4 linked regions of the Arabidopsis thaliana genome follow. The protein of the gene in region 1 interacts with the protein of each later gene in a pairwise test. Each region holds a gene or a part of one and is shown on either strand. Other genes may lie near its edges.

Region 1 (7,157 bases):
ATATATGAATTGTGTTATCAAAATTTATGTCCTGGATGAATTTTTTTTACCAAATACTATATGTAATGAAATGTTTTGACCAAATATATGTAATGAAAAAAATAAAAAAAATTGGGTCAAAAGGGAAAGAAATCCTTCTCTAGAGGATAATGGACCCCACTTGTGTAAGATAAAACAGTCTCTCTCTCTCCCCCACAAGAAAAAGCCTCGACCACCTAACGATAATGGTGGCTATGAGATCTCCGTCTTTTCTCCGTCGTGTTTCTCACCGCCGATTATAAAATACTTATCTACTACCATCTCCTTGTCGGAAACGGCGAGCTAAGTCGATTAGGTATTTATTCCTTTTATCTCTTTTATCTGTTAAAGCTTTCTTAGGGTTTTTGTTTTTGTTGTTTTGCATTTGAAATTGTGATCTCATCGACTATCAAGCTTCGAACTTTACATTAGGGTTTTGTGTAAATTCGTGTTCTTCTTCACTTTCTCTTTCCAATTCGACGCATATGGATACGTGATGAAAGTTTTCGAAAATTTGTTCAATTTCAAGTTTAGTTCTTTATGACTCTACTGATTCCGGATTTTTCTAGGGTTTTAATTGAGAAGAAATAAAAAGGATATTTTGGTATGGAGGTGAAGGAATCGAAGATAGATATGGATGATTCAGTCAATAAGGAGATTGGGGAATTACCAAAAGATATGCCTTGTACTAGTAACTATGAGGACCATAGTTTTCATAATCATGTTGAAGAAGATGTCACTGAGGATCTTCCTTGTGGTGGTGATGATATTGATGCTGATGCTTCTATTAAAAAAGAGGTTGCAGAGTTCGACGAGGACGAGGTTGATATATTGGAATGCAATGATAACATTGAGATTCAAGTCTCAGGGTGTGATGATGGGACTGATGGATATTCGAGTTCGTTTGGTGGAACGGATTCTGAACATGAGAATGATCAAGAAGTTGACTCCATGATTTGTAATGAGACTTCACTTCCTCTTTGGGTGAGGTAAGCTCTTTCCTCACGCTTCTTATTTAGTCTTTTATCTTAATGGTTTCCATGAAGGTTTGTTGTGTGTTTAACCAATAGCAGAATGAGAAAAAAATGTCCTCTTGCTTAATTTGGTTTTGTAGAGATTTTGATGGTTTTGGTAGCTTGTGTACTTTTACTTTTTAATTGAACACTATCAGTTCCATCTCTATGTTGCTGGATTCTTAAAAGACTGAAATTTAGGAGTTACTTGGGTTCCTGTACTAATGAGAAAAACGTCTGTAGCTTAATTTGGTGTTGTAGATTTTCATGGATTTGGTAGCCTTGTTTACTGTTACTTATTATTGAACACTATCAGTTCCATCTATGTGTTGTTTGATTGATTCTGAAAGGACTTAAATTTGTGTGTTACTTTACTACGACTTAGCTAGCTGCGTCTTTGATTTATCTCCTTTTAAGGAAGTCAGGAGAAGAATTGCTCTATATCGTGAATGGTATGCGGTAATTATTATGGTTTGTTCCTTTTTATGGCAGAAAAAGGAAGCTGACTGATCATTGGAGGAGGTTTGTACAGCCTACTTTAATGTGGCGTTGCAAATGGATTGAACTCAAATACAAAGAACTTCAGAACCAAGCACAGAAGTACGACAAAGAAGTTGAAGAATATTACCAAGCCAAGAAGTTGGAGTTAGAAAATGTCAAATCAGAAGAACTTGGAGTAAAGGCTTTACCTCCTCTTCCATGTTATACTCAGAAAACCCGACTCATGAAGAGGAAAACGAGAAAGCGAGTTGAAGAGACCGCTGATGTTACATCCTATGCATCAAACCATAATCTCTTCTCTTATTATGGTATGGAACTAGTTTGGTGTTCTTGTCTTTCTGGTCGTGATTAATGTTCATCTACCATTACTTGTCTAATAATTTCTTATCTTATTGTTTCTGATCTTTGTATAGATTGTCGGAAATCTTTGGCCGATATTGCTCTTAATGACAACTCCCGCAACCTAGGTATGGTGTTCTAAAATCTCAACTATGATATGATATTACTCCTTTTGAAAACTTTGATCTTATAAAATATTTTCTGTCTTGGGTCATCAGATAAGAAGAATAAGAGCGCCAAGGATGAGACAGCTTTCTCTGAAGAGACACCGCCTCTCGAGTTTAGAGAAGGCGATGCGTACTTGGAACAGATACTTTTGAAAATTGAAGCAGCAAAGTCAGAAGCCCGTAACTTGAAGATCCGCGTAGACAAGGTTTTGAGTGAAAATCCAAGTATATTCCCTCTGGCTAACACAGTGAATCCACTTGGAGCTGCTGATGTATACACCAGCTCAGAACAACAAAAGCCCCTGCTGGCTATCAAAAACGAAGATGAGAAATCGATCATCTCTGAAGAAAAACCGGTGAAATCTGCTTCAGTTTCATCTCATCACGTCTCACCTGAAGACGACGAGACAACAGATATTTTACTGTCTGAGATTCTAGCATCAAAGCGAAGGGAAGGGAAATCTATTATTCCCGATAAGAATCTAGTGAAGACAGAACAAGCTTCAATTGAGGAAGGTCCATCAAGACCTGTAAGTTTTCCGCTAACTCAGTGTAACTTTGCTAAACCCTTTTGGTCTCATATGCCATTCTAACACAACGCAGGTAAGGAAAAGAACACCGCGCAATCGTGAAATCATTACGAAGGAAGAGAGTAACCCAAAGAGGCGTCGGGTTTCAAGAGAGAAGCCAAAGTCTAATGCTGTGATGGCTTCTAGGTTTTCCAACAGGAAGAGAAAGCGAGGAAAACGAAGGTCAGGCTCTGCCGGGTTACGAAGAAGATCCTGAAGAAGGTTTGGAAACTTTCAAGTAACTAATCGGATCTTGTGTTAAAAAGTAAAAATTGTTCATTCTAAGATATTCTTAACTCTTAAGCCTTTAAAGTACAAAGAAATATTTATAGTGGCTGTGTTTTGATTCTTCATGTCAACAATATATTCAAACTACATCAACTTTTGAACTTTACTTCTATAATTTAGAGTGTATATATTTTTCTCTATTTTGTATTATCAATCAATCATGTTTTATATCTTGTCGGTGCTAAGTTTTTTTTGTTTGGAAAAGAAAGAAAGCTTAGTTAAAACACTATTTCAAATACATTCGTCTAGAGAGTTTGGCAGAGACAATGGCTAAAATGGTGACCGTAGGGACGAATATAACATCAGGTATAAGTTTGATTAATTTTAACTGAGGAACATTCTCTCCTGCTCTCTTAGCCGCCATTGCCGCCGGTGGAGATACTATTCCGGTGATCATAGTGACATCATCGAGTTTACTTGGCTTCACGCTCTTTGACATGAACTCAATGAACAATTTTTTCTTCTCTTCTTCGTCTTTCGCTTCCTTCCACCGCGCGAAACAAACCTGTTTAGATCATTCAACATTGTGTTAAAAATATAGAGAAATTATTATAAGATTCTTTGTGTGATTTTGATAGAGGAGAGGACTCACCTTTATTTGGTCCGGGGTTGGGAAATCGAAGTGCCTGCCTGGTAAAGCCGAGTTGAAGTTGCTGCACTCAATAGATAAAATTCCTTTTAAAAAAAAAAATGTTGGCCAACATAACCATTGTTTTCGAATGATCAAATAATGAAACAATCCTTACTTAAAGATGTCTAAAACAGCAACGTGGAAATCGTCGAAGTTGTTGATAGCTTTTTGGGTAAATTGTTTGTAGAGTGAACCCATTACCATATTCATCATCTGCGTCGGTGGTACCCCTAGGCCAAATATCGAAATCTATTTAGAAAGATATATAGGACGAAAATTTGTCAAAACGGTTATATAACGATTTGAGTCGATAATTGTTAGGTTAAAAAATTGCAAAACCTTTTCCGAGAAAGCCCATTGAACTACCCATATTGTCTAGAAGTTAGTCTTTAGGAAGAAGAAAATGTTATGTTTATATACAAATTTGTATTGGTGTGTGGAATCAGAGACTTGGCTTGGTGGGTTTGTGTCTTTGCAAAGCCAAGAATCTTGAATCTCTACACAAGACCTTGGTTCAAGTATAACTTGTGCTTTACTTACAAAATCTTAGCCATTTCTTCACAGTTGAGTAATGTACTTTTAATAAAAGCATGGGGAATATGACTTGTCCTCTATTCTCACTTTCTTTTTGCCTACCATATTAGATATCCATTAATTTTTTTCTTTTTCAAATCTAGTTCTCTAAGGAACAAGACAAAAATATGAATCTAGCTATTTGAAAGGTACAATAAAAAGCATTGTATTATATGATTGGTTGGATCTATACATGTTTAGTAATAAATTTTAGACAATTCATTTATAGCAACTTGGCCACTTGAGTTGGGTATCAGATATGAATTCAATAAATATTTACCAACTTCACATTATAAAAGACTAAGATCCAACTAAGTAGCTGACACTTTCATTCTCGCATAATTATACTCCAATTGTAAATATTTGTTTAAAGAAACACATGTAATTGGTTTCAAACGTAAATATCAACATTTGATTTACTAACACTTTAAACATTTAAAAGACTAAAACAAATTATGTAACTGCTTTGCTTATTGTTACATAGACGTTACTTACACAAACATTTTATTTTAGAGTAAATGTCCATAATTCTGCATTAAAATTGAATGTGTCATTTTCAATAAAGAACTCGGACCCATCACTAAAGGACTTTTGTCTGCAAAAGAAAAGAACAATCAATGTGTAAAACAGTATTTTCATCACTGACAGATATGAATTCTTATTATTTCCATATAAATAAAATAAAAGAAAACAAACTGTATAATCAATTAAATAATACTCATTACCAAATTCGTAAAGAAAGAGACAATGGTAGGGTCAAAAATATAAAAACTAAAAAATATCAGAGGTGAAATGATAAATAATTTAGAATGCCATAACGAGAACGGCCCATGCGGTTGCAACCGCTCCCACCGCTACATTCCTCAACACCCTTGTGCTCGCTGCTCCGCTCTGCATTCAATTCCATATTTTCATTTTAGTTAATCGAATATGTAATTACTAAATCAATATAACAAAAATTGAAAATCTATGTTCACTGTTTTGAAATGTCTCATTGGTTATTTTTAACATTGATACTCGAACTTGTGACGGTAGATAAATATCAACATTGTTGATATAAGCTAATGTACCTGATCGTCGGCGGAAGGACCGGGAGAAAAAGCGTCGGAGTTAGGTCCGGGAGATTCAGTCGGTGGTGCAGGTGGACCGAGAAGTTCCGGAGCCGGAGCAGGTGCAGCTTGATGCTTTTTCGATTTCTTTGTAGTCTTCTTATGCTTGCTTGGAGCAGGAGCCGGTACATCAGCAACCGGAGCGGCTACCGGAGCTGGAGGAGAATCAGCTACTGGTGCTGGAACCGGTGGAGAGCTCACTGGAGAAGAAACCATTGGTGCAGGAACCGGAGGAGAGCTCTCTGGAACAGGTGTCGGTGGTGGAGACGACTCGCTAACAGGAGCCGGAGATTTTGGTGACTCAACCGGTGAAGAAGCCGAAGCAGTTGGAGTTTTCGCCGGAGCCGTAGTGGGAGAAGTAACGGCGGGGGATTTAGTAGGGGAAGTAGTTGGAGCAGAAGGAGTGGTGGGAGATTTGGTCGGAGAAGAGATAGGAGATTGGCCACCGACACCGGCGACGACAATGCAGATCAATGTAACTGTTAGGAGGAAATTGCGATCCATAATTTTGTTAAAATTTGGATCAAACAAAAAAAAAAAAAAGAGTTTGAACTTTGAAGTGATGGTTAAAGTACTGATGGAGTTTAACCAAGCGTGTTGTTTGTTTGATGTAAGAGAAGTGAGTTTTATATAGGCGATGAGGAGAGATCTGGATCGTTGGATTAAAAAAGGATCACAGACAGATGTAGCCGTTGAGAAACAGAACATCATATCCTGTATCTATTAATGTAGGATTCAATACTTTTTTCATTTTTATTTTACAGAATAGCTCTTTTACTTTTTTCTTGTGCGTTTTTATAAGGATTTTTTTTTCTTGGCATTTTTCTCCTGTTATATTCTGCAATAAATTTATTCGCCAATGGTGGGTAGATTAGCATGTGTTTTGTTGAACATATGATCAGATATAGAAAATCAATTAATAGTAATTGTTTTTACGTTAGACATTAAATTGGTTATACTATAAATCACTAGTCTTGTGTCAACATAATAATTGGATTTGAAATTGATACCAATGTCGCTCACAAATTTTATCATTGTTTAATAATTATGATATTTTATATTATAGATTATATCACACGGTCGAGAAATTTCCAACTACTAAATTGTCGGGAAATTATTAGTTAAAAAAATAGCACAATATAAGGTACATAGTATAATTGAGATAAATTTTTGGGGTACGACACATGGAGTCTTGGATTAGTATTATTATGTGATCATCACGGGTGAAATTATTATGACTTGATGCATCATGCGTCTATAAATAAATAACCTTAATAATGAAAAATGATTAAACTCAAGTTCAATATAATGCAATCAAAATAAGACAAGGAGAATGAGGAAAAGAAAACGTAAACAAAAAAAAAGAGAGTCTTTGATCGGAAGTTAGAGGGAGAGGACAGCTGGTTGATTGATTTTGCCACTTTGGATTGGTGCCCACACGGATTTGTTGGCACTTTCTTCTATTTTGGCTCGTTTTAATCTATAATTTGTTGCCACCGTCACCGTAATTGCCTGAATACTCTTTGGCCTTTTTTCATTCGAGTCGAAATGGAATCAAAACCGTTGCCAATGAAGAAACGTATTGCTTAGGAGCTACGATTTTGATTTCTTTTTGTTGCTTCTCACTTTGTTCCAATCCTTCTTTCAATGACTTTATGTAGAATATTGAAAAGTATTCATAAGCGTTTCCTTATATTTATTATTTTGTGTTTTGCCAGACTAGGAGAAAACACGTTTCGGTCTTAAGCCATTCTTAATACTTTTTTTTTTTTGAGTTTTTGAATATAAAGACAATGAGTAAGTGGAAATTCTGAGAGCGGCGCGTCGGTGGAGAGAAAGCCCAAGCTAATGGTCGTTCGTTGACTTTGTTAAAGACTTTGACGAATGAGACAGTGAGTGTTATAACGATAATAAATGAAACTCGAATCTTGTAATCATTTTTTACTATG
Region 2 (7,832 bases), 9.7 Mb from region 1:
CAACGCTATCACTATAGTTTAATGCAACTGAAGGGGGAGAATTATGAGAGTAAATTATACTATTTAAATTCTTGCTACATTATAACTTTGAAATAATAGTACTAGTTTGCTAATGATCATCAATCGAAACAAAAAGTTTAGGGAAAAAAAGTTGTGTATCCACATAAACTAACTAATGTTTTGAAAAAAACATTAGTATAATTGTTGGAAGTGATTTGGCACCTCTTCATCATTAAGTAACACGTAACAACAATACCACGGTCATAGTAAATAGTTAACATAGACTTATGAAAAGAGTGATTTCTTAATCAACGCTTGCAAGTAACCTGAGTCAATCCTAGAAAAAAAGTTTACCAGACCACCTAGTCTCTCTAGCGTTGACTTTTGTAGCACTTCAAAGTTTTACCATCATTCGAATAATCCAAACATTACAAAATTGGTATATAATCTTGGTTTTCAGTTAGAAGTGTATGATTTGTCAAACCGGTAAAAAAATTCAGAGAAAAGATATTTACCCGAGTGACCTAAATGAAGTGAACAGGTCAACCTGACCTGGAATATTCTTAACCACCAGCTTATATAGATCACATATGAAAAATATAAAGTGTGTAGATAGATGCTTTTAAAACTTTCGATAAAGGCCCGTCAACAATTGATAATAAGTTTTCGTGTGAACTAAAACTCAAAAGTATTAAAAAGAATATACCAGTGGGTCTTATTATGCTCGATTATATAATTTTTCTTGCGTGTTATTATCATTTTTTCATGAATCCTAATTATTTATTTGGAAAAGTCCAAACCCGGAGATGCAGATTCCCTGGTCAATATTTGCTTACTAACTACAAATGTCGGAATCAACTTTAGTTCATTTTGGTTCTTATTGCGTCTGTTTTATAATAATCAGGTGTAGTTAAAGCAACTTTTTTTTGGGGCAAATTAAAGTAACTTTCTAATAGTATATATATAGAGAATATTAATACCCAATATTTATATACAGAAAATAACATGTTTAAATCAGCTTCTTCTAAATTTTAAAGTAATCAGTTTCATGAATTTGTAAAAAAAATTCTGCAGTATCATTAACTAGATGTCTGATTAAATATAGTAAAACATGTGTACGAATTATTTAGTTTGTATGGAGAAATATTTTTGGTCAAGCGATTAAAGTTCCATTTTTTGTGGATTTTTTTTCGCTAGAATTTAATTACGAATATTTGTTTTGTAGAGTTAACAACCTAAGAATCGAGATATATCTCGACATCGATGATATAAAGAAAAAAAAAGGTATAGTATATATTTTTAAAAACATACACTTATTGTTTTTAGTGATGATACTGGTAAAACACTTTCATGCAATATTATTGAAATACCACTTCAAAGACTAATTTTCGGTATCGATAGAGTTTTAGTTCGTCGACGTCGAGAAATTTTATATCCTCTTCGATTTCTTTACAGTTTTTATCGATTTTTTTTGTATATACTTCTAATTTTCTTCTCTCTATATGACTTTTCTCTCAATTTCTTCTTTTTCATATCTACTTTTTAAGATATTTTAAAGAGTCGTGAAAGAGCATCCCTTCAATATGCTCATGCCATTGGTATTGAATTCACCAAAAGAGAAGCCTCTCATCAAATAAGTTCTTCAATCCCGAAACTTGAGCTTAGTCTCCAAATCCTTTGAGTTAAGATGTCTTATGACCCTCGTCATTTATAAATTAAACTCAATAAAATTGATGTCTACACTTTGATCGGATTGAACAAGAACATTGTCATGTTCACTTGCAATATTCACATAAGCCTTTATCGGATTCAGTTGTCCGCAAATATTTTGATATTTACTCGATGAAAGATCTGCTATAAGGGTGAATAAATTTGTAATTCAAGCCCCATCACAAATCGCGGTAGATCAACTGCATCTAGCTTGGAAATCAAGAGTACTATATGCTCGTTGACGCCTTCATCAAGACCAAAAGTAAACTGTACATTGTTGCCTCTATTCCCCAATCTTGGAATCTAAATATCTCTTGATCAATTTTTTATGCTTGGTTCTATCATATAGTTACTTTTTAACTTGATGAATTTCCAAACATGTTTTAGGAAAACTACTTTGTGAAAATTTTATATTATATAAATAGAAAAGATAATTTAACGGAAAAGAAACATTAACTTTATAGCATGTGGTATGTGGATATTATGCTCACTCTCAATTAGTCAATTAAGATATACCAACAACAACCTGGTTGAGATATCACAGAAATTATCAATTAATATCTTATAAATGAATTCGAAATATGCTAAATGCAAACATAGTTTTGTAAGTACGTAATTTATAATATATTAATACTCAAATCTAAGACTTACTTTTGAAAACAAAAGAATATCTTGTCAAATTGACACTTTTTAATGTTCAAAAGAGATAGTAAGAAATTTCGCCTAACCAAGAAAACAATAAAAACAAGGAATTTCAGTCTCAATACTATATATATTTTTCTGTTATTCACTTATATATTTGGATGTGATAGAATACTTTTTTAAGAACACACATATCTTATCTTCACCGATATATTAGCTGATACATTTTTTACATTCCTTTTTATTATTATTATTCTTATTTATTTTCTATTCACATGTACTTACAAACAAAAACTTAAAGACTTTGCAATTTGCGTTACGAATATTTTTCGTCAGGCTGTAATTTGAAAAGTCTTCTAGATGATTTCAAGTCTCTGCTTAATGTGCCAACTAGGCTCTATGTCACTACTTTGTGTTGTCTCTAATTCTCATTCTTCTTGACAAGACCAAACATATCACTAATGATGAAGAGATGACTAATATTTGTTTATACATTTGCTTGTAATGAAGACATGTAGTATAGCAAAGCACCATATAATATAGTGATAGCATTCTATTAATTTGTTCTTTTTTACAGCCGAAGAAGAAGAGTATAAGAAACATGTTTAAGATTCAGCCTTAAACAAGTGAAGAAAAAACAAAAAGAAAGGCTCAACGAATGGGAACTTTGATCCAACCATTGGCAAAAGCAATGGCTAAGATGACGAATGGAGTTGACATACCGAATATGATAATGTAAGGAAGAGGCGTCTTCATCGGATTCTCTCCTTCTCTTTCTCCAACGCTTTGCCAATACCTACAAAATTCCAATGCAATCCTCATCCATAACCATTTCTTCAATCACAATTGCATGTTTATGAAAAATGAACATGCAAGAATTTAAGTTCTTTTTCTATTTTAAAAGAGTTTAGTTCTTTTGACTAAACTACAACCCAAATATTTTTATTCTTTTGCTAACACGGATTTGAGTCTGGATATTGATACAATACTAACACAATGTCACAAACCACCAGTCTACATGTCATTGACACATACAAAAAAAAAAACTACTTAAATTCTGCAATGGAGACTAAAATTTTTGTATTAAATTGGTAACCTACATATCGTTTTGTAATTTTCCATGTTTTCATCAATTTCCTAGGTTTGTTTTTCTGTGATTTTGCAAAATTACATTACCATTCTATGAGTTTCTGTTATTTTCTACAATCTCATGATGAAAATTGAGAATTAAGATTAACTTACTGTTCAGGTTCTTCCTCTTTGGTTATAAACTTTTTCTTATCTTTAGGCTTCACTTCTCCATCTCCTCCACCTTATGCAATAACCAAAGATTAACAAAATTTACATCTACAAACAAATAAAAGATATAAGAGTACCTAATTTGGCATGAAGCTTGAATTCTGGGAATCCTAATGGTGATGGTGGACAAAAGAATTGAGGTAAAGCAAGCAATGATGAATATGAAGAAGATGATGAAGTTGAGGAATCACTAGCCCTGTGGCTAAACGAAGAAGAAGAAATTCGAAATTTCGCTGCCATTTCCAACAACTATATGGATGTGATAGAATATTTTTACATTTTATTTTTCTGTTATTCACTTATACATTTGGATGTGATAGAATATTTTTTTCTGAACACACAGATCTTATCTTCACCGATATATTAGCTGAAGCCTGATACATTTACATTCCTTATTTATTTTTTATTCACATGTATGTACTAATAAACAAAACTTAAAGACTTTGTATTATGCGTTACGAATATTTTTCGTCAGGATTGAAAAGTCAACCCTAGGCCTTTAGCTTCCTTCTTTTATATAAACAGAGAAACAAAACACTTTCTTTCTCAGCCTCTCTGTTTCATCTTCTTCTCTAAACTCTCAACATGTCTTGCTCGGCCACCGATCTCGCTGTCCTGTTGGGTCCTAATGCCACGGCGGCGGCCAACTACATCTGTGGCCAGTTAGGCGACGTCAACAACAAATTTATCGACACCGCTTTCGCTATAGACAACACTTACCTTCTCTTCTCCGCCTACCTTGTCTTCTCTATGCAGCTTGGCTTCGCTATGCTCTGTGCCGGTTCCGTGAGAGCCAAGAATACTATGAACATCATGCTTACCAACGTCCTTGACGCTGCAGCCGGTGGTCTCTTCTATTATCTGTTTGGCTACGCCTTTGCCTTTGGATCTCCGTCCAATGGTTTCATCGGTAAACACTACTTTGGTCTCAAAGACATCCCCACGGCCTCTGCTGACTACTCCAACTTTCTCTACCAATGGGCCTTTGCAATCGCTGCGGCTGGAATCACAAGTGGCTCGATCGCTGAACGGACACAGTTCGTGGCTTACCTAATCTATTCCTCTTTCTTAACCGGGTTTGTTTACCCGGTCGTCTCTCACTGGTTCTGGTCAGTTGATGGATGGGCCAGCCCGTTCCGTACCGATGGAGATTTGCTTTTCAGCACCGGAGCGATAGATTTCGCTGGGTCCGGTGTTGTTCATATGGTCGGAGGTATCGCTGGACTCTGGGGTGCGCTCATCGAAGGTCCACGACTTGGCCGGTTCGATAACGGAGGCCGTGCCATCGCTCTTCGTGGCCACTCGGCGTCACTTGTTGTCCTTGGAACATTCCTCCTCTGGTTTGGATGGTACGGATTTAACCCCGGTTCCTTCAACAAGATCCTAGTCACGTACGAGACAGGCACATACAACGGCCAGTGGAGCGCGGTCGGACGGACAGCTGTCACAACAACGTTAGCTGGCTGCACCGCGGCGCTGACAACCCTATTTGGGAAACGTCTACTCTCGGGACATTGGAACGTCACTGATGTATGCAACGGCCTCCTCGGAGGGTTTGCAGCCATAACTGGTGGCTGCTCTGTCGTTGAGCCATGGGCTGCGATCATCTGCGGGTTCGTGGCGGCCCTAGTCCTCCTCGGATGCAACAAGCTCGCTGAGAAGCTCAAATACGACGACCCTCTTGAGGCAGCACAACTACACGGTGGTTGCGGTGCGTGGGGACTAATATTCACGGCTCTCTTCGCTCAAGAAAAGTACTTGAACCAGATTTACGGCAACAAACCCGGAAGGCCACACGGTTTGTTTATGGGCGGTGGAGGAAAACTACTTGGAGCTCAGCTGATTCAGATCATTGTGATCACGGGTTGGGTAAGTGCGACCATGGGGACACTTTTCTTCATCCTCAAGAAAATGAAATTGTTGCGGATATCGTCCGAGGATGAGATGGCCGGTATGGATATGACCAGGCACGGTGGTTTTGCTTATATGTACTTTGATGATGATGAGTCTCACAAAGCCATTCAGCTTAGGAGAGTTGAGCCACGATCTCCTTCTCCTTCTGGTGCTAATACTACACCTACTCCGGTTTGATTTGGATTTTTACTTTTATTCTCTATTTTCTAGAGTATTATTTTAAATGATGTTTTGTGATACTTAAATATTGTTTTGGATATTTTTTTGCATTTCAGTAATGTTTTAGATGTACAGTTTCATGGGGTTGTGATGATAATATCTATGTGGTCATTTGTGTTCTCTTTGGAGTTTTTTCTATAACGCTTTTTTCAAATTTTATGATCATTATTTGCTGCATTCTAGATAAGCAATTAGGAATGTGAAGCATGGACTAAGTAAAAGCCTGACCGTTTTTAAGTTTGGACTTTTGATATAGCTCATACTTTTTTGATATTAGTTCATACTTATTGCTTTAAATAGCTAAAAAGTCTAAAACAAACCTTGCATTGACGCAATAGATATAAATAACTCGAAGTATTGCTTTCTAGAAGCATTAACAATTTGGTAAAACGAAGTTGAACCATTTACTCAAGCATAATAATCAGAAATGACAATCTTTCATGTCTGATGCAAATAAATAATAATTTATGGAAATAATTTCTATGTCTTACATCACTAATTAGACTTTTAGATGCTTGCAAGTTTGAAGTTTCAGCAGAAGTAGGTGCTTTTACAAACTCTTTTTTGTTTTAATTTGATAAAGTGTGTTTTTACAAACTCTGTTTTATTTTATTTTGAAAAAGTGTGTTTTTACAAACTTTCAACCAACCTATTCACGAATCTCTAATTTCATTTGTCCACCACATGAAATAATGTGTTTATTATATTAGTGTTATTTAAACTCAACGATTTTGGAGATTCGTACGTACCTTGTTGCCGCAACTAAAGATTCGGAGTATCACAGTTATTATATTAACAAATGGATTCACAAAGTAGATCGCGAATTACTTGAAAGTTGGAACTCGTGATAATGTTGTCGATACCACTAAATGGCAACTTCGTACATATGTAAAAAAAGTCAGGGTATTTGGGTGCTTTTCAAAAAGATGGAAGCATGACATGAGTGATGAGGCAGCTCCTACAAGTTGGAAAGAAGATATTTTGTCTTTACCTCCAAATTAAAAAATTGGCATTTTTAAATATCAAAAGGTGAAGAAGCCAATCAATTAGTATATTTATTTGTATTTTTTTTTTTTTTTCAATCTCTTTTACAAGTTTTAAGGAACTTAATGGCCAGCACTTTGATTTGATAGATACACACTAAATGAAAAAGTTGACCAGATGGCTCCGGTACTCGGAAACAAATTGCATGGAAATTTTACATAATTAGGTACACACATTTCAACATTTTGAAGAATATATTTGACTGTTTTGATTTTGCAGTTTCAATTGCTTTATGATTTCTACTCGGTTATTTATTGCTTTCCTAAATTTTATTCTGTGTATCTTACTTTATTATTTTTTAGAATTTAATATTTGTTGCTTCTATTCTCAATGAATATACTCAACAGATGAAATAATTAATAAATAATTCCAAACATTTGAACGTTAAATAATTAAATAGTCTTGACCATTTTAATATTTTTTCTAATTGTAACATTTTCTTTAGTATTACTAGGTTATGATTATCATTACACGTTTGGGTTAAATATGTTTTTGAACTTTTGGCGACAGGCGAGTCACTTGTTTTATAAACTTAACTTATACTAATCATTTAACAGGCTACATGTACTTTGCTATAGGTGAGTCATGTAACTGTTTAATTAGCTAGTGTGAATGTGTGATCGACGAAAAAAAAAAATTAGCTAGTGTGACCATATTACTTATACAACAACAAACTAAAAACTTGTCAAACTAAAAAAAGAAAGTAATATATCTGTTTGTAATTAGTCTAATCGTATTAAACTTTTCAGTTTTCACATAATAAAACAAAATTACAAAAATCTGATTATAAATGCATCACTTTTTGTGATTAACAATTTTTTACCCTAAAGCAATAGTAATTATTCTTAAATTTTACAATTCATCATCATTAACAAATCAAAGATAAAAAAATTTAAAATGCTCACTTTTCATTTCTTAAAAAAATTTAATCTAAATTGATAATCATTATCTACTCGGAAGAAAATAATCGAGATGACAACGGCTTGGTTCATGTGTGAGCCTCA
Region 3 (8,395 bases), 8.2 Mb from region 1:
TAAAAGATAGACTAACAAAGCACAAAACAAAAAGCTGTTGTTTTGCTTCTTTAGTTGATTATTGACTTCTTAAAGCATAAAAAGAGTTTCTAAGCATAACAAAGTATGTGTGTGTGAATTATGTTGGTTGGGTTAGTTGGAGGAATTGTAATGGCAGAATCGGTTGAAGTGTCGAGGTTGGAATTATATAAACGATTGTTTTAGTTGCATTGATTTTAATTGGGTGTTGAGGTTTTAATGCTGAAATGTCATTTTTAACGGTTAAACGTTTAAATAACTTGATACTCATGAGTTTTTATTAGTGGTTCGAGTGTTTGAACAATAAAAACTAAACAACATATAATCATAACATTTATATAATTGTACTTAGGTTGGTATCCTTTAACATACGATGGTGTCGACACATAAGTGAATGACTACACAATGATGATTGGAAAGGTCCAAGTAAGTTGAACCACTAGACCACCATAAATCCAAATTTCCGGTTTGGTTATTTAGTTTTTTTCTTAAAGAAAAATTTATTTTAAAAATAGAGAAGTATATGTTTTACATGACTTCAACATGTTTTGCATTCGGTTCCACTTTGTTTAGCTGAATTGAGAACTCTTGGCTGTCATTATTTTGTTTGCAGCAGAGAGATTATACTCATTGCTGTTATAGTCTCATTTCAAATGAAAGAAAAAGACAAAAAAGTTTTTAAAAAAATGTAATTGTTTGCGAGTGTGATAAGTGTCTTAATGTTTTGAATTTTCGAACCGGGACTGAATTTTGTTTATGATTGCAAGTTCAACAAACTTGACATTCATACTTAAATCTCTATTTAGTTTTACTTTAATTTCTACGTAATGGGTTAATGATAAGAACTATAAAATGATTACCATTGGTTCAATGATAGTATAGTATTCTGATTTAATTACCAATAATACAGATGATACTAATAAATGTGATAGCTTCTCCGATTCGAAAAACTTACTTATGTGTTTTGGTTATCCAAAACAAGTTGGTTTATACTTTCTAAGCAATTAGAAGTTACATAATTATTTGTCGTATTAACTATAGTAACAGTTCTTGTTTTGGTTCATACAAAACATGTGGATGTCAAAACAGTAAATATGACTACTAATAAAAAAAAACTAATACTTTTTTAACAGAGGAAAATACCATGTATTAAAAATGTTATTTCTTTGATAAAGTGTATGAAAGATGTTGCATAGTCACACAGACGTAGCAGTAGTCAAGAATCCATTAAATTGATAATATACCTTTGGTAATCATGGTTTTATTGAAAAGGTGACAAAGAATACATATGTTAACATTACCAGCAAGGATTTGAATTTGAGTTGTTGGAACTTTAATACATAGTTGAGTAAAGAAGAGGCTTACACAATGGAATCTATCGTGTTAACTACTTAGCTTTGCTTCAATCTCAATTTTCAGTAACTACGTAACTCTTCAGATGCAAACAAAAAAATCTCTGTTCAGTGTTTAATATTAGTTAACTTTTCATCCAAATAAATATATTAATTGACTATAAGAAAGAAATCGTGGAAACCTCTTGGTCTAATGGTTGACCAAAAGTTCATTAATGCTTTTACATCCAGAAGTCTAATGTTCCAGTTCCAGCTACTGCGATTTATTAGCAAATTTGCAGATTAATGGAAGCACGTATGCATGATATCTACAACGAAGTACAATTATAGTCGTTCGCCAAGATTTTATGTAGAGAAGATATTGAAGGTATCCATCAAGCGCATGGAGAAAGAGAAGAAGATATCGACATTGATGGAGGAATTGTAATCCTTCTTTTGTCCCCAACACACATGCCTGTGAAATTTTTAAAACTTGAGAGCAATACACCATTTGAAACAAAGTGATGAAAACCTTTAGGAGGACGAAACTAAGTTACCATTTAAGCCAACATCCCATCCCTTAATGACTTTACCATGACCTGCATGTAACAACAACTTCATAAGTATCACGTACCAATCACATAACTCCATCCCTTAATTGCCATATCACATAAGTATTAAAAGGTGCTTTTCCAATGGTGGAATCGAAGATCTTCCCGTTCTCTTGAAGCTTTCCGATATAGCGGACACTAACCTGCTTGGTCATCTGCTATGTAATGACAATTCTATAAATACCCTGACTTGCGTTTTTTTGTTTCTACCTTGTTTGTCATTATCTAACTCCATCTCCACACCTGACTTATACTCTGGCTCAGCTTTTCTTTGGGAATAGGAAAACAGTCTTTGGCGTGTATTTGCTTAGTTCCATTCGCATTCTCATATTAGGTAGGTTTATCTTCATCTTCTAACTCAACGGTAATTTTTATTTATATATAAATATACCTTCACATTGAACAACTTTTTACATAACATCGTTTAGGCCCTTTTTCTTCGCCCTGTATGTATGTGATGTTTTTTTTATATCCAACTATTTTAGTATCACACACGAACATATACTGTAGTCTACAGCCTACTACATGTATATCTAACCGAATTATCTGTAAAGTAAAATTGTCTTACTTCTTTAAACCTAAACTAAATTCACAAGAACATTAAGAAGAAGAAAAAAAAAAGACTTTGAACTAAAGCAAGAGAGGCTTCTGAAGATCAAACTCTGTTCTAAGCAAACTTTCTTCATCATCTTGTTTCATTTCATCTATTTCTTCACAATCCTCTTTTCCTTTAGCCCACAGAACGAAGTAGAGTCCTCCGAACATCAACGCCATTCCCGCAAAGCTAATTTGACAGAGAAAAACAAACAAGAAAGAAGATAAATGACTTCTCTTTCTGTCTAAAAGATCATACAATGAATGCGAAAAGCTGCAAAAATGTACCTTCCTAGGTTGAAACTCTCTTCCATGGTAAAAGCAGAGACAACAACACATACCACAGTTGCAATTGGACTAAAGAGAGACACAATCACTGGTCCTTTCCTCTTAATCACCCATGCATTGAAGCTTAACCCTCCTCCACTCACCAACCCTCCCTAGAAAAAAAACAAAAACATTTTCAACACATCCAAATGTTGCCAACCATATATGATTTATGACGTACCAGTATTGCGTATCCCACAAGGTGGCCGAGACCGATTACTGATGCACTTCCCATTTCCATACTTCCCTTAAGAGCATACTGCAAAGCTACTGTGGTGATCCCACCCATCAAAGATACCATCGAGAACATTGATATAGGCGCCGGAAACTCGGCTAGTATGGATGCCTAATTAGGACGATCAAAGTGATTTCACAAGCAAAGAATCAGATTAATTAGCACAACCGGATATATGATAGCTCTAGGGCTAAGAAGGGGTATAAGGTGAAACCTGAAGGACAATACTAGAGGACAAGCCGCAAATGGCAAGGAGGAGATAGAGGCAACCTAAGATCTTGTCCTTGTCCACAACGACTTCGTCAGGGACAATAGGTATAGTCTTAACCGAGCTTAAAGTAGCGGTAGTACTGTGCATTAAGCTCATAATGAGAGCTCCCATCACACACAACACTGTCCCTCCCATCTTAACTCTACTATACATACAACTTAGCTTCACTTTCTCCATCCTTAACAATTACAATTTATTCAAATAACACATTAATGAAAGCTCTAATCTTCAAACACTAAACAGATTAGATTAACACAAAAGTAAAAGATTTACCCAGCAGCCCAAGCAATGACAAAAATGAAAGCAGGGCAGAGATTAGGCATAGCTGTAGCCATTGAAGCAGAGGTGTGTTTCATTCCTTCCAAGAATAACCCCTGGAACAGAGTCACTCTGTTTCAAACACAACTTCTCTCTTAATTAATCCCTTGTTATGAATTTTTAATTCTTCTCCTTCTCTTTAACGTATAGAAGAAGCAAGGTAAGCATCTATTAATCAAAACATGCAGAAATAAATAAAAAGAGGAGTTTTTACCCAGCAAGAGCAACCAAAACTAGTTTTATCTTCAACTTGAAACTTAGACTTCTAGGCCAAAGCTTCCTACAAATACACACCACAAAAATCCAAATTTTTATTAGAAAAAGAATGTAGAATAAAGTTCGAAACAGAGATTTTGTAAATTAAAAGAAAGAAGAAGATACCTTTCAAGGAGAAAAGCGAGAGGGGTGATGAGAAGAACTGATGCAAAGGTGCATAAGATAACGATAAGAAGTGGGTCAATTCCGAGAGACAGCAACTGACTCAGTAGCTCCGAGTTTCCGGCGTAAATCACCTGAGCTCCGGCCAATCCTCCGATTATTCCTGCTTCTATTAACGTCTCTCTCTTCATCATTTTTTCAACACAAAAAAAACACGAAGAAAATAAAAAGAATAATAACGGACAAATCAGTTGGAACCCATTTGGTAACCGAACAGAAGGATTCGATTTTGTGGGGGAACTAAAAAAGCAGAGAAACACTAATTAAGTTTTTGGTTTTGTTGTTGTTGATAAATGAAAATAGAAAAGATGCTTTGTTTGTGATCTCTCTTTTTGGTAATGTGTAATGCTTGAAGTTGAAACTTTCTCTATCTTTCACTTCTTGCTTTTAAAGACATGTGTCCATTACATTGCATTGGTTTTATTATGGAGTGTCTCGCCATTATAGCTTTTTGGGGAAGCGCAGATTTTAATTTATTTTTAGTCTAAAACGGTGATTATTTTTATAACACATAGAGTCCTCAAATTTTGGTGCAATGGATTTAATATGTATGAAATAAGACAAAACAAAAATTTGAGAGCGGTTAGCTTAATTTGTTAAGAAATAAATATTTCGGTGAGTCTGATATTTCTTAAATAGAACAAATAAATAAATAAATAAAATTCGCCAAATCGGCTAGGCAAAAATTTAAGATTATTCAAATTGTCAAGATTTTTATTTGGGAAGTTGCCACTATATTAATAAAATTTGGAATATAAAACCATAGTTTTGATTGGTAAAATAACGTAATAAAAATAGCAAAATTATAAAACAAGATTCTATTTATTTAAGACTAAAGAATAATATGTTTATTTTGTCAGTAAAGTCATTTAAAAAAAGGTGGAATGATCGATCATAAATCGCCCTCACACAAATTTATGTTAAAGATGAAATTCTGTACTACAGTGAAGTTTAAAAACATGCAGAGTATGAAAAAGAAAGATAAACCAAAAAGAAAGGAGAAGAAGGAAAAAAAGACAGATGCAATAAACTCCGTCAGATTCGGGGACCTTGGCCTTTTCTCGGGGGAGTAACAAAAATATTTATCAGTGTTCTTCTTTTGTTTGTATTCTTATTTTTGGATATATAATACGACATCTTACCATCTTCTCCTTTATTCGTTTTACGTATCTGACTATCTGTTCACTCTTTACTTCCTTCTTTTTTTCTTGCATGCAAATATGGAATGTCTTCATATTTGTATTTGTCACAGTCTCACAGATAAATCATATGTGTATGCCATGTGCCTACCTACCTATAATCATTTTTATTGGTAAAAAAAGCTTCCTATTCTAATATCCTTGTTAATGCTAATGAGATGGTTTAGTGATCTGTTTTCATACCGAAATGTTTTAGTTATTTAACCCAAAACACCAAAGGATGGTTTAGTGATTCGTTTTCACACCGAAATAGTTTTATGATCAAAATATTTTCTAGGGATCAGTTTTAACTAGAAAACTAGACTAGAGTCTATAACGAATTAGTTATTTTATAATAAATGATGTGCCTATGAAAGATTTTTAATTGGAGATGTATAATATTGGAGATGTTGTGTGGAGTGTAAAATATGGTAGGTGAAGCGTAAGATAAGAAAAAATGAGGAGTGTAAGAAAGAAAAGAGCAAAAGTGGGGATGCTTACACGTCAACAATCCTCAGTCTCTTTTCCAATGACTTGTGAAGCGTGTTATCGTCTCTCTTTTCTCCCCCTCTTTTTTTCCCAACAAATATAATATGCGATCTATCTAAATATATTAAGTTAAGAGTTTAATCTTTATCCACATACATTTTTTTCTTTTGTAACATCTGTTATCCATATCATGAAAATTTAATGCGTTTAAAAGCTTAGAAACATTTCACGCTGACCAAAAAAAAGAAAAGTTCACGCTCAAAACACTTAAGACTTAGTTTTATAGACCCTAACTAGTATCAAAACCCCTTGGTGTGAAATAAAAGGCATCTTGAATATGCAGAAACTCATATTAGCTCCTAAACCGGTTCAAAACATTCTAATGACTAATGAGTTGTGCCACGTACGAACAGACAAAAGGTTACAGTCTCAAGTTCTGAAGTCTGTGAACATACATAGTCTTCTCACGTGCCCACGCGTCTACAACTACAACCGTCGCCAACTCACGTGACTTTTTACCTCTTCTTTTTTTTTTTAATTTTTTTTTAAACCACTTTTTGCTTCTTCATACTACGAATAATCATGGTAAAGCTTTATGAAAGATTATAAAAACCATAGGACAAAGAAAACAAAATTTCGAACATCTTAACCAGTTTTGTTCTAAATTATGATATTACAACAATAATTTAAATTGTTTAAACCCTTCTCAATGAAATGTCCTTCTTCTCGTGGGATTGTCCTTCGATATCTTCTCAAAAATGCTTTTTCCTTTTACCTACGCTTATATCTGCACGATAAAAGTAGAAAATACCGAGTTAAACCAACAAATTACAATTTATGTTACTGGTAAATTTCATGTTTATGATGAAATGTTTCTTACCTGGCTTTGCTCTTGAATGAGTTCTTCGACTTCGTCCGAGGTTTTGCTGCAGCCGCGGCACCGCCTCTGCCCTGTTTCTTCTCGCCCATATCACTCTTGAACAGATCTTTCATCTCTTCACCACGAGGCTGGTTTCTTGGTTTACTCCGGCTTTGTTTCTTGTCCGGCTTTGGTCTCTCCATCTTACCGGAATCAATTGCTCTCTGTTTTGCTTTCACCGCTTTTGCTCTCATGTAACCAAGATCCTTTAGTGTCAATCCCTTCTTATCTGTCTCCTGTTTTTTCTTGTCTTTCCCCTGAAAAAAAACACACATTTAAAATCAATACAATGTTTGTCATCCCGGCGAGAGAGAGAGAGAGAGAGAGAGAGAGAGAGAGAGAGAGAGAGAGAGAGTGATGTGTATCTCTGAAATACTTACTCTTGATCTTCCTCTCTTTTCGTCTCCTTCTTCGTCTTCTTCCTCTTCTTCTCCTTCGTTATCTTCTAGCATCTCTCTGGCAGCTTCTAGCTTTCTACGTTTTTTCCTAGGAAGATTCTTCTGTACTTGCATGGTCAAGAGAATTGTAAGTTCTCTAGGAAGAAGCAATCAACACTAAACTAGAACGATAATGCAACTGAATAGTGAAGAGCTTCTTGATAAACAGACCTCGCGTTCACGTTTTCTCTTCTCCTTCATCTTGAGGTCCTCTGCTCTATCAGCACTAACTAGTTCGCCTCCAGCAGGGTTCCCTGCAGAATCCTATTCAGAGAAAGTATAAAGAATGATTCAGACAAGTGTATCCCTCTCTCTACAACAACAACCTCAGGAAATTAAAAGAACACCTTTTCAGCCTGTGCCACGAGCTTCTTCTCCTTCTCTGTCATGAACCAAGTCCTTTTTGGGCGTGCATATATTTCATCTCTGTGCTCAAGCATGTTCTCCGCCTGCAGAAACAAGCCCATAATCACGAATTTGAAATTATTCCCACAATAATTGAACAAAGACAAGAACCAAAGCTGCCTACCTTTGCAAATTCCATTTCAGCTTTCCTTAGAGCTCGCTCATCCCTGAAATTGATGAAAACACCTCAAAGCTTAAGTATACAGATCAACCAATTCTCCTGGGATACCATAATTCTTTGATGAGTGTGAATGAAACCTCTCTGCTGAAATAACAGCGGAATATTGATCTTCCATTTCATCGATTATCTGAGACCACTTGACGATTGACTGCTCTGGGATGACTCGGCTCTTCAACTTTGAACCCACCTTCTTTGCCTTTAAACAAAGAAACAAAGTCGATTCAAATGTCTAAACAAAGCGATAATGAATTGGGTAAAAGCAAGATCCATGTATGTCTGATGATTCACTTACAATGACTTTCAAAAGGGATCGGTCACTATCAGTCACAAACGTTACAGCATAACCTTCCCTTCCAGCCCTAGCTGTTCTACCAACTCTGTGAACATAACTGCAAAATCAAAGGAAAACATATTGTCCTCACATCAGTTAAAGAGAACAAAACTAGTAGCTTTTTAATTTAATCATAATACAGGAAATATATCTTGTTTACCTGTCTATTTCCCGAGGACAAGCATAATTTATAACTGTTTGAACACCAATGATGTCAAGTCCCTGGAATGATCAAAGCAGACAGTGTTCAAGAGGTTAAATAGCAGAGCTACTGAGAAGAGAATCTTGAAAATAAGTTTTTTGCTTCTTATA
Region 4 (9,164 bases), on another chromosome or scaffold:
CTCTAAGTCTTTGTGATTTGTGCCCCATAGACCATTGACTCATTCCTTCCACCTTATCTGCCACATACTGTTTCGACTTGTCTCATTCCTGAAAAAAACGTTCGTTAGCTAATTTCATAGGTTAATTCCCAACAAAATTTATCAATTGGAGACAAAAGGGAAAATTCGCAGTGTAAAAGGTGTCCCAATGGTCAGCATCGGCTCCACCTATTACCTATAGGCAAGGTAGGCAAATGCCAAGGGTCCAATATTAATTTCAGAAAAACACTTAAAGAAGAAAAGTCCAAATTTTCTTAACTTTTTTTTTTACTAAGAGGTTTAATTTTTGTTTGGTTTTGCCATAGGTTATATCGAGACGGCACTGCCAATGGTACTATCAGACAATGCCTAGAAGTTCTACCTAATTTTTAATCTCTTATCTCACAACTTCCTTAAAATCTGCTCGTGAGTAACAAACATAGTCACATTCCCATACAAATTAAATTCTCCTACAATAGTCTTGCACTACTCTAAAATGAACACCTTATCATTATAATTGCAGTGTCACTACGATATAGATGGAATAATTTGAGTATGGATACATATATATATATATATATATATATATATATATATATATATATATTAATAAACAAAAAAACATGGGAAATGAGGACATGAAAGATTGCTATGTTGATAACAGAAACAGTGGGTTTGATTATTGCAGATAACTAAAATTTGTAGTGAAATGGAGTATAAACCTTGACTTGCTTTCTTTGTTCACTTGGATCCCAAGGCAAACAATAAACACAACATAAAAAAAAAGATTGTTTATACATTATCAAGGTATAATTATTAAATATTTGTCTGTTGAAAAACATGCTAAACTGGCCGGCAAGAGCTGCTTTTTCAGAGCCATAAAGCCATCTAATATTCAGTGCAAAACCAATGAAATTCTACTTATGAGATTTTGGCCATTCCACTGAATCTCTCTAGTTATCCATTACTACCAGAAAGTAAATCAAGAAACAAAGAACAAGATATGCTTCATTTCCTCACATGATTAAGAGGGGAAATTTTTGTCTTGACTCCTTCGAAATACTCAGAAAATTGTGGATTTCATTCAAATAAATCCACAAATCATTTCGAATCAAATTTCTGGAATTTCCGAAAGAAATCACTAGAATAGTGAAAGCAAAGACTTTTAGCATCTTATTCAGACAATTTAGTAATTAGGTCTAAACGGGCTACCTTTTTAGTATTTTTCAGATCCATTATTAGTAGTCAAATCTAAACGGGTCAACCTATTATATAGTGTCTTTAAACGGGTTCGGGTCCACAAAATAAGACCGTATCCTTTCAGGCCAGCGGGCTTTATGTCCATTTCAACATCATGTGTAACATGTCCAAGAAGAAAGAGTGTTTGGAGATATTCGGCCTCTGTGGGGAAGCAAAATTTCTATTGACTTTTCTTATAAATCCAATGGGGAAACGGTCCTTGGAATGAATTTGACTCAAGACTCAATACACGCATTGGAGCTCTATCTAGAACTTCTAATGACTTTCCAATACTACTAAAAGAGTTGTGAGAAAGCGATAACCATGTCAATCTTGATAAGCAACCTGGTACTGTTCCTTCCATCTTATTGTAGGAAAGATCAAGGATATAGAGGTTATGTAACTGTGATATAGATTTTGGGATTGTCCCGATGAAATTGTTGTTTGTAAGACTGAACATTTTGCGCTTCGAAAATTTAGATATAGATTCAGGGACTGAGCCATCAAATTTGTTATCGCCAAGGTGTATACCAATAAGCCTAGGCGATGAAGTTGTATTCCCAAACTCTATATGTCCCTTGAACTGGTTCTCCCACTTAAGTTGTTTTCACTAAGGTCTAGGTGCCTAAGATGGGTTAAGTTTCCAAATGAATATGGAACTTGACCTACTAATCTATTATTGAGAAGGTTAAGTTTTGTGAGATGGGAAAGGTTTCCGAATAAAGAAGGAATCTCCCCATAGAGATAGCAAGTTGAAATGGTTAATTTTTGAAGATGTTGGAGTTTAAAAAGACCACTATTTGGTTTCAAGGAGTTGTTGAGAAAGACGTAATTAAGGTAAAGTGAAATCACCTTGCCAGACTTAGCATCGCACTTGACACCCTTCCAATAACAACAATCACTGCTCTTGTTCCATAAACTTAATGATGCAAAATAAGGATCTAGCTTGGATTGATTGATCGGAAACTCGTGTTTGAACTCTTAAAGAGCATCCCTTTGGTCATGGCGGCAATAGTGAAGCGTAGGAGAAGCAAATGTGTGTAGAACAAAGAAAACCAAAAAGAAGGAATACAACGTAACACCAGAAAAGCAATAAGATTGTTGTGGACTCATAATTACTTTCTGTGTGTATGTGTGTGCAGTGTGTGGTAAGTAATAGGTTATGACTATGGCTTCTGAGTATGCCTTTAATAAGAAAAAAGGAAAATAAAAACACTTCTGGAGTTTAGTTCTTGACTTCGAGAACAATCTATCGTGTGAACTCGTCGGACTTCTTATCCTCCTAATTCTTCATGCATCTCTGCTCAGTGATTTGTGCCACTGGTCCATATAGACTACTGATTGACTCATTCAATTCTAAATTATCCACCACATACGTTTCTTTTTGTTTTTGTTTATCTACCACATACTATCTTGACTTGACCTTGTCGATCGAGTTCATTATTTTTTATTTCATTTTTAATATTCTGAAAACTATGTTCCTAAAAACATGAGGTACGCAGTTTCATGAATTCCAAAAAAAAATTGTCGATTAGAAACAGTTATTAAAAAAATGTAAACTGTATGACCTTGCAGTAGTAACAAACTTAGTTTCTAATCTACTAAGAATGGAAGAAATAAAAACTGAGATTGCTGATAAAAGTGTGTGACAAGTTGCTGTTATTATGAGACAATTGTTGTACTCTTGAGCTCTATGTATGTTTACAATAAAATAAAAGTTTATGTCTACATATCTCAAAATCATCACAAAATTTAAAAGGAGGAAACAAAAGAACGAAAAAGAACAAGATTTAAGATACAGCTTACTAAGAAGGTGATTAAAGATCAATCGATTTTAACCGAAGAGTAGATAAGCCTGGTGAACCAAAAGCATGCGTAGAAACCAATTGCACCAGTAAAGACGAAGAATACGTATGAAACTATGAGCATGTACCCAAAGTAGAGCACTGCAGAGACGAGCTTTGTGATCTCAAGTTTGGTGTAGAAGTAAAAGACTGCGTAAAGAAAGAGGTAAACCGCGGAAGAGCCTGATGTTAAGTAAGATCTCCACCACCATTGATAGTCTTCACTACACAGCTGAAAATAACAGAGGACGACCGTGATCTCTGCGCAAGTGATGATCAAAATGATGAAGACGATGAAGAGGAAGCCGAATATGTAGTAGAACTGATGTAGCCATATTGAGGTGAGTATGAAGAAGAGCTCGATGAAGACTGCGCCAAATGGGAGAATGCCTCCAATCAAAATGGAGAAGATTGGGTTCATGTACCAGGCCTGTGTTGGGATCTGCCGCGGGATCTTGTTGGTTTTCACTGGATCTTCCGGTGCAGGTTTTCTGAAACCAATGTAGCCACCGATGAAAACAAGTGGAACAGAGATACCAAACCAGAGGACAACCAAAGCAAACATTGTACCAAATGGGACTGCACCGGATGATTTTTGTCCCCAGATTATCGCATTAAGGACAAAGAAGGCGACAAAGACGGTAGCGGGAAACATGAATGCGGTTTTCAGAGCGTTTCTTTTCCATTCGGTTCCTCTTAACGTCTTGTAGAGGCGTGAAGACGCGTATCCTGCCAATAGTCCCATGAAAACCCAAAGCAAAAGCATAGCCGTCATAAGACCACCACGGTTTGAAGGAGATAAAAAGCCAAGACAAGCAAAGATCATGGTGACAAGAATCATTCCAAAGCATTGAACTCCAGTGCCTGCATAAACACAAAGCAACTCCGGGTTTGTTGGCGGTCTGAAAACATCTCCGTGTACCAATTTCCAACCCGTCTCTTCGAGGGCCTCTTCATGACTCTCTAACTGATTGTAGTTGGAAATATCTCGGTAGAGTGTTCTTAGCATGATCATAGCGACCATACCAGAGAGGAAAAGAACAATCATCATAGAATTAACGATTGAGAACCAATGAATCTGATCATCAGCCATTAGAAGGTAAGTGTCCCACCTAGACGCCCATTTCACCTCACTTTCCTGGAAGTCAACATCATATGTGAAGATAATCTCGTTCCCTTCTTCAACCTCCTGAGGAGACTCAGAGTTAGTGACTGCACGCTTTGTATGCGGATCACAAGTCGTTAACCGAGCCTTTTCATTCCATTGACCTTCATATTCATGTTTGACACTGCATCGAGATAAAATCAGTAGATGTTAGTCGCTTACACAATACAGAGTCAAAGTCCTTAAATCACAAAAAGCTACCTGAACGGCTTGACTTCAAAGCCAACGATTCTTGAAGAATCGGTCTGTATATCTCTGTGATACCTAACAGTGAAGGTCAAGTGGTTGTGGATAAAATACTTCTCCTCCTTTTTCTACAAGAAAATCAAATAAATAAGAACTCTTTCCATTGAAACATATTCAGAAAAGGTGATGATGAGCTCTTACGCCAGCAAAGATTCCCTTGAGACCAACATGGAAACCATGCTGATACACTACAACATTGTCCTGATCTGGCCTTTGCACCGGAACAACTAGGGGAAGGTTGTCCAAAATCCTGCATAAGAAATCAATCTTCCTCATAAAAACAGAAGAAAAACAAAACACATTCAGTCGAAGGCGACAAAATCAATCTCCTCACATGTTAACTCGATATTCATCAGCAATCTTCTCCTTAAACGCCTTTGCGGTTTTCTTATCAAGCTTCACACGACAAACCGCAGCACACATCTGCGATTCCCTCATTTTAAACTGCAACAAAGAAACAAACAGACATTAAAAACAACTCAACAACTACCACTTAACCAAGACAGATAGAGAAAGAACCAAGAAGAAACAAGAACATACCACAAAAGGAGAGTTCTCAATTCGATCACCACGAAGAACTTCACCGAGATTCTCAGCACTATCAACAATATGTTCTGGACGACAATAAGGAAGAGAATAATAGGAATATGGAAGCTGAGTCTTTGTAGATGTCAATTTATTAACTTTCACCATCAATGCATCTCCCTGAAAAACAAAACCATAACTCCAAAGTTTGAACCTTTATAGATAATGACCATTATACATTCTTCTACTCCAAAAGCTAGATTCACACAGAAACAAGTCTAAACAATGGCTAATACATATAGACTAATGAAACATTCTCTTTAAACACAACACTCAGTGGTAACTGAAGATCAAAATTACCCAAATCTCATAAAACAGAGCCATAGATCCAATTTTAACAAGATTACTTGATCGATTGCGTTGGATCTAAATCAGAAAAAAATCTAGACCCAGTGTGAATCAAAGCTCTAAGAAGAAGCTGCATTTGTGAAATACAGATACAGAGATGATTTTATGTGGCTGACCATTTGGAAATCTTGTGGAGCGACGCCGGGAAGGTAAAATCCATGGATATGGACATTGAGGGAGAAGAATAAGACAAGGGTGAAGATCAAAATCCGAACTTTCGCCATGGATTTGCTCGATTTCGTCTTCTTCTTCGGAGAGTGAAATTTCTTAAATGAAGGAGAAGAGAGTGGGAAGAAACATGGCAATTGGACGATTTATGGCCGTTGGATATTTTAGTATCTCGTTTGATTTAATCAACGGTTGAGATTTCCTAAGTTGGAGCTGTCGGTGATTCTTCTTCTTAAGGTAATGAAATATCAAAGTCAACACTTTTTAAGGTAAAAAAATAAAACTTTGAATAGACAATAATTAAAATCAAAGTCCAATTTACGAGAAATCTAATTTTTAAATAAGGAAACAATTTTTTTTTTTTTTTGTTAATTTAAGTAGATTAGATGAAACTTGTAAATGTAGCAAAGTAGAAATGAGTTAGTGTGGAGGATACGAAATAATTATGAAAAAGTATTCAAAGAATAAAAGAAAAAAATGGATTTAAATCAATTAGAAGACAAAATCCATTTGGTAAATGAAGGTGACCTCTTAACTATTCTAGCAGATTATGAAACCTTACACACACCAGCAACCACCTTGACATATAATTAAATGTACATTACCAATAAATACATGTAAGAAAAAAGCACACACACACACAATACAAATCCGCATTAGATAAATGTAAGTCTTTCTTTTACAGACTGTTTTCAAATTGAAAACGGACGGTTTTCTTCTGGAGATAACTAGTCCGGTATAAATGTAAGCATATAATAGTAATCGCGGAAACTAACTTCTATTATTTCTATTCTATTATAAAGTAAAAGCAGTCGTTGGCAACACAACATTAGAATAATTTGAAAAGATAAGAAAAATTAACATAGCATTTGATATGGGCCAACTCTTTGATGATATTGGGATCGGGAACATGGACTTTGGTATTCTGAGGTATAATATAGTTTTCACGAGTAATGTAGGCATTGTCGTGTGCACCACCTCCGAAATAAATGATTACAAAAGTTCAGTATTATAAAAAATGGTCTAGGCGGTCGTTTACACTCTATCTAGGCACTAGACTCTCAGGTAACGCCTAAATAATCGCTTCGATTGTCTAAAATAACATAAATTGCCATATTTTCTATGTTCACTTGTCCATTTATTATCAATTTTAGGGTCTAAATGATTGTTGTGGTTAAGGTGGACAAATTCGTTTGTGTATTTGACCACGTTTTATTTACCATTTCACAAATTACTTCTGTGTGGATTTAAAAAAGAAAACTGATGCGGATCAACCACATACCGTTTTTACATATAAATAGAGTTGGTTGCGACGGTTTGTTGTCTACTTTAAAAATAGTTCGGATTAAACCATTGACGGATTTATCCATCTTAACTGCCGTAACCATTCAAACTTGTGAGATGAGAGAAGTAACAATCAAAAATACCAATTGATTGCTCGTATCTTACTAGAATTACTGACAAATTCTTCTATAAATGCAACGTTTCTCAAAGAATCTCAAGGTTAAGCTTATTATTGACACTTATATAAACTTCTATTTATTTATTTATTTAAGTAAATAATCAAAATTGCATGAGCATGTTGGCTATAAGAGAAAAATTGCATGAGAATGGCATTCTTATAGATTGATGAAATTCGATTGGTCGTGATTGGATATTCTATACAAGAAAAAAATATTGATACGCTGAGGTAGTCTAAATAGATTATAGTGTTTCATAGAACTAAGAAGGAATTATCGAAAGCAGTCTAATACTTTTTTAATCTTTAAATCATTTGAGGTTCGGGGTTCACGACGAGTGCAACGAACATGAAGACAGACTTTTTTTCTTCAATTTCATCAAACTTTTTTTTTCTTTCTGTTTTATATGCTTCTGCTTCATCACCCTTTTTTCTTTGGGTTTTAAATGTTTCTGGTTCATTCACCTTTTTTCTATGTGGCTTAGGTGCTCCTATTTCATCTCTTAGTTTTCTTTCCAGTTTTTTAGGTCCTTTTGGTTCATTGTTAGCTTGTTGTCGTTTAGATTTAGCATTTTTCAACTTAATGACTTTCTGATATTCCAGATTATTAGATCTAAAATACTCGGAGTCAAACGAATCATATCAGTAACAAAATACAAAACTAGTCACTACTTGCGAATCAATCAAACAAAAATAAAACATCTAATCATGGATGTGTATTCACAAATAACTTACCATTACAAGTGTGTAGTTTACAAATGCTCTGTTTTGACTTAAAATCAAAAGTTTCGACGATTTAATTTTTTTTGATGTGGTCATAAAAAGAAACTTGAAGAAATAGAGAATGATTCTTCAGATTTCTTGTTAAGTGATCGTGAAATACTTTGATTAGGGTTTTTGAACTGCACAAAAAATTCTAACAGAGACAAAAGGATTGAAATCCTCTATGAAAAAACATTATGTTTTAAAAGAGTTGATTTTTCTTTTACGGGCAACCCACAATCTGCGACGAGTTTATCCACATGAATTTGTGATCTACGATGGATCTATCCATGAAGCCCACTAATTTATATACAAAAAAACCAACGTCCAATCCGCCTCGACAGAACTAACCCAACAGATTTTAATGCCTAAAACATATTTAAGTTTATTTAAAATTGTTAAGCATTTTTAAATCTATTTCTAATTAAAAGTCACAAAAAACAAAGCTAAAATTCTAACCGTTCACTAATAAGACATTAATCTATGAAATAACCACTAGATTACGAAACATTTTCGAAATTTGTTACCTTTTACAACTATCTATAAATTTGTGTGCCTAAAGCATGGACTTCAGCCGCTTTAGCCAAGGGCAGAGCTGAAATTTTCGTTCATCAATTTACATTCTAGAAAGAAGTCCAGGACACAATAATGGTTGAGTCATGACTCATGAGGTGGCCAGTAGAACTGTTCCCTTCTTTGATGTGTTTGTGTCACGTTGATAACGGGTGGACATTTTATTGGTTTTGTGAGATAAATTGTTGAAAATCGTAGCGAAGCAAGTTGATAGGGTTCAATCATATCTCGTATTATCTACTATATATAAAACATTGTAGAAAAGTAAAATATTTTCATTTAAAATATTATAAAACAGAGAAGAAAACTTATACTATTTGACCAAGGAAAAAAACTACCTACTCACGACACGACCATCACGTTTATAATGTTAATACACAGTTACACCATACATTTTTTCATTGTAGTTCTATACAATAATATATCATCGTTTGATCTAACAAGTATTCGATAGATAGTGGGAACTTTTTTTTCCCTTTTGGCCTTATATTTAAGAACATGGAGCCTGTGTTTCTAAAATTCTATCTAAAAAAGTATATTTTGTATTGATCATATCTGAAATTGCATATATTGTAAAATATTGTGTACAAAAGGATCCGGTCCAAGATTAAACACACAATACTTACTGAGACTAAAAGGGGCTAAACCACAAGAACAAATCCTTGAAATTGCAATGGTTAAACTTACAAAAAATATGTCTCTTATTACCAGATCTTAATATTGTTTACCGAATTTCTGAACTAAACTACATTTTTTG

Evidence for each region.
Region 2: the proteins of AT4G37445 (region 1) and AMT1;1 interact in a protein complementation assay, tested with the Arabidopsis thaliana proteins (one large-scale study listed by BioGRID).
Region 3: the proteins of AT4G37445 (region 1) and UMAMIT8 interact in a protein complementation assay, tested with the Arabidopsis thaliana proteins (one large-scale study listed by BioGRID).
Region 4: the proteins of AT4G37445 (region 1) and AT2G24170 interact in a protein complementation assay, tested with the Arabidopsis thaliana proteins (one large-scale study listed by BioGRID).

The regions. Positions count from the first base shown.
Region 1 is NC_003075.7:17,601,023-17,608,179, forward strand, and holds AT4G37445 (calcium ion-binding protein), read right to left. Parts: upstream 3,923-7,157; 5' UTR 3,897-3,922; coding exon 3,866-3,896; intron 3,776-3,865; exon of another isoform or gene 3,757-3,775; coding exon 3,642-3,756; intron 3,549-3,641; coding exon 3,488-3,548; intron 3,401-3,487; coding exon 3,122-3,400; 3' UTR 3,072-3,121; downstream 1-3,071. Other genes in the region: AT4G37440 (uncharacterized protein), read left to right, coding at 625-1,007, 1,524-1,840, 1,946-1,999, 2,090-2,568, 2,642-2,824; AGP18 (arabinogalactan protein 18), read right to left, coding at 4,904-4,990, 5,170-5,919.
Region 2 is NC_003075.7:7,853,984-7,861,815, forward strand, and holds AMT1;1 (ammonium transporter 1;1), read left to right. Parts: upstream 1-4,199; 5' UTR 4,200-4,236; coding exon 4,237-5,742; 3' UTR 5,743-5,935; downstream 5,936-7,832. Other genes in the region: AT4G13500 (uncharacterized protein), read right to left, coding at 3,004-3,148, 3,595-3,664, 3,729-3,891. UniProt on the Arabidopsis thaliana protein: High affinity ammonium transporter probably involved in ammonium uptake from the soil, long-distance transport to the shoots and re-uptake of apoplastic ammonium that derives from photorespiration in shoots.
Region 3 is NC_003075.7:9,355,595-9,363,989, forward strand, and holds UMAMIT8 (nodulin MtN21 /EamA-like transporter family protein), read right to left. Parts: upstream 4,646-8,395; 5' UTR 4,278-4,645; coding exon 4,087-4,277; intron 3,986-4,086; coding exon 3,920-3,985; intron 3,878-3,919; exon of another isoform or gene 3,778-3,877; coding exon 3,661-3,777; intron 3,566-3,660; coding exon 3,331-3,565; intron 3,228-3,330; coding exon 3,063-3,227; coding exon of another isoform or gene 3,018-3,062; exon of another isoform or gene 2,995-3,017; coding exon 2,843-2,994; intron 2,745-2,842; coding exon 2,591-2,744; 3' UTR 2,312-2,590; downstream 1-2,311. Other genes in the region: AT4G16630 (DEA(D/H)-box RNA helicase family protein), read right to left, coding at 6,582-6,597, 6,691-6,986, 7,110-7,229, 7,338-7,430, 7,514-7,615, 7,696-7,738, 7,830-7,948, 8,045-8,141 and 1 more.
Region 4 is NC_003071.7:10,271,226-10,280,389, forward strand, and holds AT2G24170 (Endomembrane protein 70 protein family), read right to left. Parts: upstream 6,042-9,164; 5' UTR 5,964-6,041; intron 5,897-5,963; 5' UTR 5,670-5,896; coding exon 5,562-5,669; intron 5,218-5,561; coding exon 5,053-5,217; intron 4,957-5,052; coding exon 4,847-4,956; intron 4,763-4,846; coding exon 4,654-4,762; intron 4,581-4,653; coding exon 4,468-4,580; intron 4,391-4,467; coding exon 3,082-4,390; 3' UTR 2,874-3,081; downstream 1-2,873.